Linked DNA regions of Arabidopsis thaliana. The protein of the gene in region 2 interacts with the protein of the main gene of each other region in a pairwise test. Each region holds a gene or a part of one and is shown on either strand. Other genes may lie near its edges.

What was found.
Region 1: the proteins of FSD3 (region 2) and MRL7 interact in a two-hybrid assay, tested with the Arabidopsis thaliana proteins (one study listed by BioGRID).

The regions. Positions count from the first base shown.
Region 1 is NC_003075.7:14,124,487-14,128,679, forward strand, and holds MRL7 (polyadenylate-binding protein 2-binding protein), read right to left. Parts: upstream 2,597-4,193; 5' UTR 2,343-2,596; coding exon 1,648-2,342; intron 1,403-1,647; coding exon 1,318-1,402; intron 1,186-1,317; coding exon 1,074-1,185; intron 985-1,073; coding exon 881-984; 3' UTR 726-880; downstream 1-725. Other genes in the region: MGT5 (magnesium transport 5), read left to right, coding at 1-113, 242-517. UniProt on the Arabidopsis thaliana protein: Plays an essential role in early steps of chloroplast development. Involved in the regulation of plastid gene expression. May positively regulate plastid-encoded RNA polymerase (PEP) activity through binding to FSD3 and CITRX/TRXZ.
Region 2 is NC_003076.8:7,848,388-7,853,091, reverse strand, and holds FSD3 (Fe superoxide dismutase 3), read right to left. Parts: upstream 2,649-4,704; 5' UTR 2,469-2,648; coding exon 2,382-2,468; intron 2,284-2,381; coding exon 2,194-2,283; intron 1,916-2,193; coding exon 1,724-1,915; intron 1,636-1,723; coding exon 1,464-1,635; intron 1,363-1,463; coding exon 1,289-1,362; intron 1,211-1,288; coding exon 1,184-1,210; intron 1,096-1,183; coding exon 1,072-1,095; intron 977-1,071; coding exon 851-976; 3' UTR 558-850; downstream 1-557. Other genes in the region: PYRD (pyrimidine d), read left to right, coding at 2,849-2,998, 3,200-3,282, 3,419-3,742, 3,830-4,085, 4,176-4,364, 4,446-4,475, 4,669-4,704. UniProt on the Arabidopsis thaliana protein: Destroys superoxide anion radicals which are normally produced within the cells and which are toxic to biological systems. Plays important role in chloroplast development, particularly in the maintenance of thylakoids membranes.

The DNA.
Region 1 (4,193 bases), on a different chromosome or scaffold from region 2:
CAAACAGAATAAGCACCAGTATGGTGACGGAGGAAGATGACATTGATGATATGGAGATGTTGCTTGAGGCATACTTCATGCAACTAGAGGGAATGCGGAACAAAATTCTTTTGGTAAGTAGTAAATGTACCTAAATAGGTCTAAGAAAACCATATAAGTTTTAGATGCAAGCTCGGGTTATGTTTGGTTGTTATGTGTTAATGCCCGGTCCTTGGTAATTTAATATTTTTTTGAATTGCAGATGAAGGAGCATATTGACAGCACAGAAGCCTACGTGAAGATACTACAGAATAGTAGACGTAACGGACTGATCCACCTAATGATGCTTGTGAATATAGGCAATTATGCAATAACTGCAGGGACAGTGGTGGTCAACTTGTTCGGTATGAATATACCAATTGGATTGTATAGCACACCTGACATCTTTGGTTACGTTGTGTGGGCTGTCGTTGCGCTTTGCATTGTGCTTTTCATAGTCACCGTTGGTTACGCCAAGTGGAAGAAGCTACTTGACTGATAAGAGACTAAACACATTAGGTTTAGTCATTATGAGATTAGCTTTGTGGAATTCATTTTTTTTTTAGTTTGCTTTTTCTTATTGATTCAATGCTTTTGTTTTTATGTTATGGATTTTTGCATTAATAGTTTATCCTTCAAACAATTTTTCTATAAAAGGAGCTGGCTTCTTGATATATGTATGCATCATTGGTTACGAATCAACGTGTTAGGGAAAGCACAGATTGACGAGTAAAATCCATTACTTGGGAACAAGTTTATATTTGCATAGAACATACAAAAATGTTAACAATCTATGAGTGAAGTTTATGTAAATTTTCCTAGACTGACCTTTTGAGTGAAACTACTCTATGCCCGTTACAAACTAACAGTACGGGGTTACATTAGCCTTGTCGACACACGAAGGCCTCTTCGCTTTATAGTAGAAATGCGCAATCATATGAACCAATTCATCCGCCGTGCGAAAGTCTGCATCAAGTTCAATACGCTATGATAATCTATTGCTCACACATATTGCAAAAAAACATGAAAACAACGTTAGCAACATAGCTTATCACCTTTCTCCCTGTACAGAATCCGGTTTCCGCGTAAGAAGAGAATCTGTGGGCATTCCTTAGCTTTAAGAGCATATGCCAAATCTGTCTCGATGTTCAGGTCAATCTTAACCGCCTGTTTCATAAAACATGGTGATTCTTGTTAACAGAGAGCAGCCACATTAACATGTAATCACACCAAGAGAGATTAGTACACAAAGAGTAATGTTCAAGTTAAAACTGCAACTAGAGAAGGCTTTCGACATACCCGTGGAGGTAATCGATCTTTCGCATCCCAATAAACTTTGATAGCTTTCTCAAGCTCCTTCAATGTCTTCCAGTTATCACTAGCTCTATAAAACGCACAACAACTCAAAAAATTATTCCAACAGTAGTAGATTTTGGTCACTCTAAGAACAAGTTTCAGTTTTTATACTCATTGCAGTTAATTGATCATGGAATCTAACTCAAATGGCTCTTTCAACTTGTAATCATAGTCTAGATAATGTTGTGAAGGAAAAAGAACAAAGCTTTCATAGTTCTACTATGCACACCAAGTGTTTGTGAAAATTCGTCAATGAAATAACAAAGCTTATACCTTTTGTATCGCTCGAATACAAGGACAACGAGTGGACTAGGATGAAAAGCAAAGCTTTCCCATTCCAAACAATTGATCTCCTTGACCCAACTATCATCAATCTCACCTTCCCAATCAATCTCACTCCCATCATCTCCAACCACGTTTTTGATTGGATGTGTATCGAAATACTCCGAAGCTTTGATTCCCCATCCAACGTCTGTATCTACTGGCCAATCTGGATCTTCCTCTTCCACCACCATCTCTTCTTCTTCTTCCTCTTCTTCATCAACGCCTCTGTCTTTGATGAAATTCGCCTTCTCCTTGTTCTCAAAAACCTCCGGATTCTGCTCCTTTATGGTGGAGAAAGTACGCTCGAGGGAGCTTCTCACGTAATCTTCCACAGCGTCTGCTTCACTCCGCCGCCCACGCTTCGATTTACGCGGGACCTTTGTCGGAAACTTTTCATTGTTCTCGGTTTCAGCAATTGGCGTAACTGCTTCCTTATTTTTGCGACGGGACCGAGTTTGATTTTTGGATTCAGGGTCTAGTACGGAATCAGACGAAACAGCGGCGAAGCGTTTCACGCTCCGGGATGATATAGTCACCGGGAAAACAAATAGTGGGCTGCGATGCATATCAGAGAAGCTCGAATTCAAGCCGGTGAGAAGCATAGAAGATCTTGGCGCGGAGCAAGCAACAGCGAAGAAACTCATTTCTCTCGTTTCCTAAATTCAAAACGAAATTCGCAGAAATTTTTGGTAACTGAGTTTTTGCTCTTATAATCCACTTTGTCTGTATAATCCCGGTTTGGATTATTTCGGTTTGTGTTACTGTCCTTGATTTGGATCGGTTATCTTTCCCGATACTTGGTTTAGTTTATATAATCGAAACAGCGTCGTTTGAAATATTCATAATTTCATATACCTAGCTCCTCGCCTCCGTTAATGAAAAATTTGAAATATTTTTGGCAAATTTTAAAGTTGGATATGTTCTTTTTTTGGCATTTTCCCATTTCGTTATGTGATCACAATATCCATAATGTGATCACAAATTAGAAACATTGATAAAATATGTAAACTTTACATAGTCATAAGATCCTAAAATGGAATATTTTCTGACCTCAAAATGTAAACTCGTTAACAGTACACATACTAGTGTTTAAATATAATTTGTATGCAAGAAGAAGAAGCAGACACGATATGGAGAAGATTATTTTGGGATGCATTGTGTTTTTGTTGGTGTTCTGTGCCGTGTTGATTTGTCGTCTCTTACGTTACCTTTGTGAAAAACGGTGTGAAGAACCTAATAAGGTTTCGCACACACAAGAAAAAGAATCTAATAAGGATGACGTATTAATTCGAGGTACGTCTATTGTCTAACTGTTTTGTTTCGAGCTAATATATAACTTTTCTACAAAGTGAATTTTTCGATTCTATTTCTAATCTTTTAGTATCATGACAGCCTCGAAGACACAAACATATAGACCGCCTCAGGTGACGACGGTGTAGCCCGAAACCCGTAAACAAAAAGAACAACGTCTTTTCTACAATCAATTAAATATTTTTCACTTACCTTCAAGAAAAGTTTTTGTTTTGTGAAATAAAAGAAAAGTTTTTAGTGATTGTTTTTGACATTGTTCTCTTATTGTTTTTATTTTTATCCAAGGTATATTCTTATAAAGTTAATTGTTTGCGGTCTAATTTATTACATAGTACGATCTTTGTCAATGGGTGGAAGATATAAAGAAATTCTTCCTATAGTTTAGAATGTGTGAGTAAGATAAAATCGGAGTTCATAAACTCGATTGCCAAATCTTTGGGGTTAAGAAGGCTCAGTTTAGACGAAATAAATTTATACAAGTTAGAATAGATGATATTGTTAAATTGTTGGATCATATGGAATTCACAAATTAAAGCCTAACACGTGGTCACTGATCACTGGTTTCACATGCATTAAGACTCGTGGCCCATTGAAAACTGCAATGTTTTATTGTATAGTTGGTTCCATGTGTGAATGTAATTTTGTTTTGTGTTTCTTTTATATAGTTTGCATAAAAGCATGTGTTTTTATCTTCTTTATTAATAAGAAGTAAAAGAATTCTCGATTTCTTACACCCAATCTGTTACAGTTACACAGTACACATATATCTTCTTGTAGGTATTTTCATTTTTCAGTGACGTATTAATATTTGTAAAATGGAACTTCGATGACTCAAAATGTAAATATGTGTACTTTCTTTCTTGAACTCTCTTTTATGGACCTCACACCAATTTCATTGAGGTATGCAATACTTTTTCACTGAGGAATATTTTAACGAGTCTACTCATAAATCTCATCATATAAATTTGTTTTGGCATTAAGTTATTTTTATTATTGGTCGTCTCACGTCTGCCATGTTATTATGACATATATTCATAATATATATTAAAGATTGATATGAATATTAACTTACTAAGTATGGATGAGATGTTTTTGATAAATATATCTAAATGATGTAATTAACCATATATTAAACTTCAAATTTGGAAGTTGATTTTCTACATTTTACCAATTGACAGCTAGTT
Region 2 (4,704 bases):
TATGATCTTGATCCAAATAAATCTTGTAATCTCTGAGTTATACTAGTATCAGTTTGACCATTTAGCAACCATACAAATGTAATATGAGGACTAACACTACAGTCTTTATGGCACTGAATCTGCCAAAACCCAGGTCCTACATGAACATTGAGATTTTACAGAAAACCCACCAACCAACACAACAATCGCATTGCAAGTTTCATACAAGGATAAATTTCACGAACACAAAGCTTGAAATTGCTTATCTTTAAGAAAATTTTCCCTTTTTACTCACGCAGTTATGGGCACGACTCCTAATCAATTGTAGAAAATTCATAGACGAGGAAATGAACAGAACCTCAAGAGCCCAATCGAAATCGAGAGTTTCCGCGAGAGCGAGTTGGGAAAATCAGGGAATTACCCGATGCTGAGGGAGTTCCACAGAGACGATCGCGTGAAACTTTGACGTTAAGGAGGAAGAAAGTTTATACCTTTACGTTGAAGTGAACGATGGTGTCAATCCCTATTGTCAGGAGACGAAGAAGAAGAAGAAGAAGAAGAAAAGAAAGAAGAGGAAACGGATACTCTCAGTCACGTGCGGGTCACGTGAGCCAGCCTTCGTTTTATTATAACTTAATAAGGGTTAATTGCGTCACTAACATTACTGTCACCATACAGGGCTCACTGATGATCTTAAAGCTAGAGAGTCTCTCAAAAGGCAAAAGAAGAGAAAACTGTCGCTAAATTACACAGAACAAAAAGATGGGTCACATTCAGAAAGCAACTCTTGTTTTGTTGGTTGGGACTTGGGACTTGAGACCTCTGTTTGCAAAAATGAGACTGCCCAAGTTTCCAAGGAGTTGTGTTTAGCTTAAGCGATTGGGATGTTGGGTTCACCAAGATTCACAAACGCTTCTGCACGGGCCATCCGACTCATGGCAGCGTTCCACGACACCAAGTGGTTCAGAAATGTGTTTATATACTTAGCCCTGTCGTTCTAGCAACCGGAGAAAGAAAGAAACAAACACTGATTTAGCCTTTTGAACGAACAAAAAGAACACAGAATGGTCGGAATTTAAGCTAGGTTTTTACCTTGTAGTCCAGATAATAAGAGTGCTGCAAAGTAAGATAAGAAAACGAAAGATATTAGAAAATGTTTCAAAGTGTTTCTTGGAAGAATGACAGAAGAGAGGAGATGGTGTACCTCCCACACATCCACGCAGATGATTGGCTGTAACAACAAAAGAGATGTGATCAAGAGGTAACATTAAGTTCAACAAGAAAACTAACTAATAAAACTCTAACATACAATATCGTCCCACACGAGTGGGTTAATGGCGTTTGAGGTTTTGACCACCTCAAGCCTTCTCTCTTCCCTCTTTACTGAAATTTTCCAGAAAAAAACAAAAAGAGAATCAAAATTTTCCATTTTCAAAGTCATTCTACAGTTTAATACCAAGTGAAAAGCTAGTCAAGTTTCTCACAGACAAGCCAGACCCATCCAGAACCAAACTGAGTAAGAGCTGCATTAGTGAACTTTTCTCTAAAATTTGTGAAAGAACCAAAATCCTTATCAATCTGCTCAAGAACACCCTTTTGAGGCGTGTCTCCACCACCAGGTTGCATCGACTCCCAGAAGAAATCATGGTTATAGACCTAAACAACAACATAATCATCATCAATCCTTCCAACATTAGTGTGTGCCTCGGGTGATAATGTACAAGTTACTTAGAATATAAAGTACCTGTGCAGCGTTGTTGAACTCGGGTAAAGGATTCCCGTTGTTGTATGTAGCCTTGATAAGCTCTTCCATGGTGTATCCATAGAGTCTATCATCTTTCCCTAACTGTTTATTCAGATTATCTACATAACCTCGATGGTGTTTTCCCCAATGCACTTCTAGTGTTCTTCTACTCATATACGGCTCCAAAGCATCCTATTCACATTTGTTTTTAACTCTAATTAGAATCTCAACTATACCATCTTCTTTGACATATCACCAAGGCCCTAAAGATCAAGACACATCTACTTTGCAAGATAGAAGATACACAGATCAAGACACAATCTTTCCTATACTCACAAGACAATTCACCCAAATTAACAAACTTTCTACAGTTCCGTGCTTAGTCGAGAACAGAATTGGATTACAGAAGCAAGACATAGTTACTACACTTAGAATCCAAATACAAATACCAAAGTCTTATTTGCACTTACAAGTGGATAAGGAGGTGTCTTTAGACCGTAGTAAGCTTCAACCTTTAAACCACCTCGAGACCTAAGAGAGCGTCTTCTCTGCTGGTTACTCTATAAGGAAACGAAATTTGAAAGCTTTAGTGCTTAAAAGAGATAGATTCATGTGAAACAGAACCACAGCAATTTCCATGTCACACAAAGAAACGAACCAGATTGAGGAGCTTGGGGGATTTCAAACGTATACTAGAATCTGAAATTGTATAGAAACAGCTTGTCGTCACAACACAAGAACTCATAGTTCCTCCCACTGTTGTCGTCAAAGTCTCACTTCTGCTTCGAAAGACAGAGAGCTACTTCGCACTCTTGGTCTCGCTTTTTCAGAGAAAGGGCCTTCCTTATCAATCTCTTTTCAAACCGGTTAACATATAAGATTTTACCCCGGTTAACTACATTAAACCGGTAAATCGAACCGGAAAGATCAACCTGAAGGAAGCAAGGGTTTTAGCAAATACTCTGACGATCCTTTGTAACCGAACAACAAACAAAAAGCGTATATTTTTCTCTCTATCAAGATTCAAGCCGTGAGCTAGAAGGCTAAAACCCTCTTCTTATAGATTTCAAAGCAACCATTTTCGAACTCTGTTTGATTCCACTGTCGATTTAATCATCTTACCTAATGGCCGGAAGGGCTGCGACGTCGTCGGCGAAATGGGCGAGAGAGTTTTTGTTCAGAAGGGTTTCGTCTAATCCTCTTGGAGCTACCCGTAACTGTTCTTCGGTTCCTGGAGCTTCTTCTGCACCGAAAGTCCCTCATTTTTCCAAGAGAGTGAGTAGCTTTGATGAATTTATTGATAAATTAATCTCATTTTTGGTTTATTCGAATCATATTGGAATCTTATTCCTTAAGATAAGGAGTTGCAACTCTTGTTTTGATCTGAATATGGCACATTAATTGGTGTAGTAGAGTTAGATCATTGATGCTATTTCATTTTACAAGAGCAAAGTGTTTGACTTTGAAAATTTATAGGGAAGGATATTGACAGGAGCTACCATTGGTCTGGCCATAGCTGGAGGAGCTTATGTTAGTACTGCAGATGAAGCAACCTTCTGGTACTTTACTTAATAAGTGCCCTGAAACTTAGTCTTTTTGTTCTCTTTGTTAGTTGACATTGCTAAGGCTACCTTGTAGTTACTTTGAGGAAGTCACTTTGTTTTTTACCTCTTACCTATTTTGTGTGTTGGACAGTGGGTGGCTATTCAACGCAACAAAGGTTGTGAATCCTTTCTTTGCTCTTCTGGATGCTGAGTTTGCGCATAAGCTGGCTGTTTCAGCTGCAGCTCGCGGGTGGGTACCTAGAGAAAAGAGGCCTGATCCAGCAATCTTGGGACTTGAAGTTTGGGGAAGGAAATTCTCAAACCCAATTGGGCTTGCTGCTGGATTTGACAAAAACGCTGAGGCTACTGAGGGACTGCTAGGGATGGGATTTGGCTTTGTTGAGGTAGGCTCTGTAACTCCTGTTCCACAAGAAGGCAATCCGAAACCACGTATCTTCAGACTAAGCCAAGAAGGGTGAGAATCTCTAATCTATAAAAGACCTTCAATGATTGAAGAAGCAAGATAGTTTAAACTAAAAGACTTATATTTTGGTCCTCCCAGAGCTATTATCAATAGGTGTGGATTTAATAGCGAAGGGATTGTTGTCGTTGCAAAGCGGTTGGGTGCTCAACATGGTAAAAGAATGTTGGCTGAAACATCAGCTACTTCGTCATCTCCAAGTGATGATGTAAAACCAGGGGGAAAATCTGGACCTGGTATTCTTGGGGTCAACCTTGGAAAGAACAAGACGAGTGAGGATGCTGCTGCTGACTATGTCCAAGGAGTTCATAACTTATCCCAGTATGCTGATTACTTGGTACAAACTTCTTACCATGATATATCGAACATGAATTTGATCTAATCCACCGTAGAATTCTTTGTTCCTAATTTTCATTTTTCTCTTCAGGTGATCAATGTTTCATCACCCAATACTGCAGGACTGCGCATGCTTCAAGGAAGGAAACAGTTGAAGGACCTTGTAAAGAAGGTTCAAGCTGCTCGGGATGAGATGCAATGGGGTGATGAAGGTCCTCCTCCTCTTCTTGTGAAGATTGCTCCTGATCTGTCCAGAGGAGAGCTTGAAGATATTGCAGCGGTACGTAGTACTAAAAAAGCTAAAACACATTCTATAGTTTTCAAGTAATTGGTTCTTACAACATTGTATTGGTTTGTGTAGGTGGCTCTTGCTCTGCACTTGGATGGGCTGGTAAGTTATCCTCTTATGAACTAACTTATGTTACATCAGTGTCAATCAATGAAGCCTCCAGTCTGTTTAACGTAGTGTAGTAAAAGCGATTAAAGTGTTAGAATAGTCTCTTTTTTCGATTGTACGTATGGTATGTTGCAAATCATAAAAGCTTTCGATGATGATGATGATACTGTCTTTGTTGGTCCTATAGATCATATCAAATACAACAGTCTCAAGGCCTGATGCT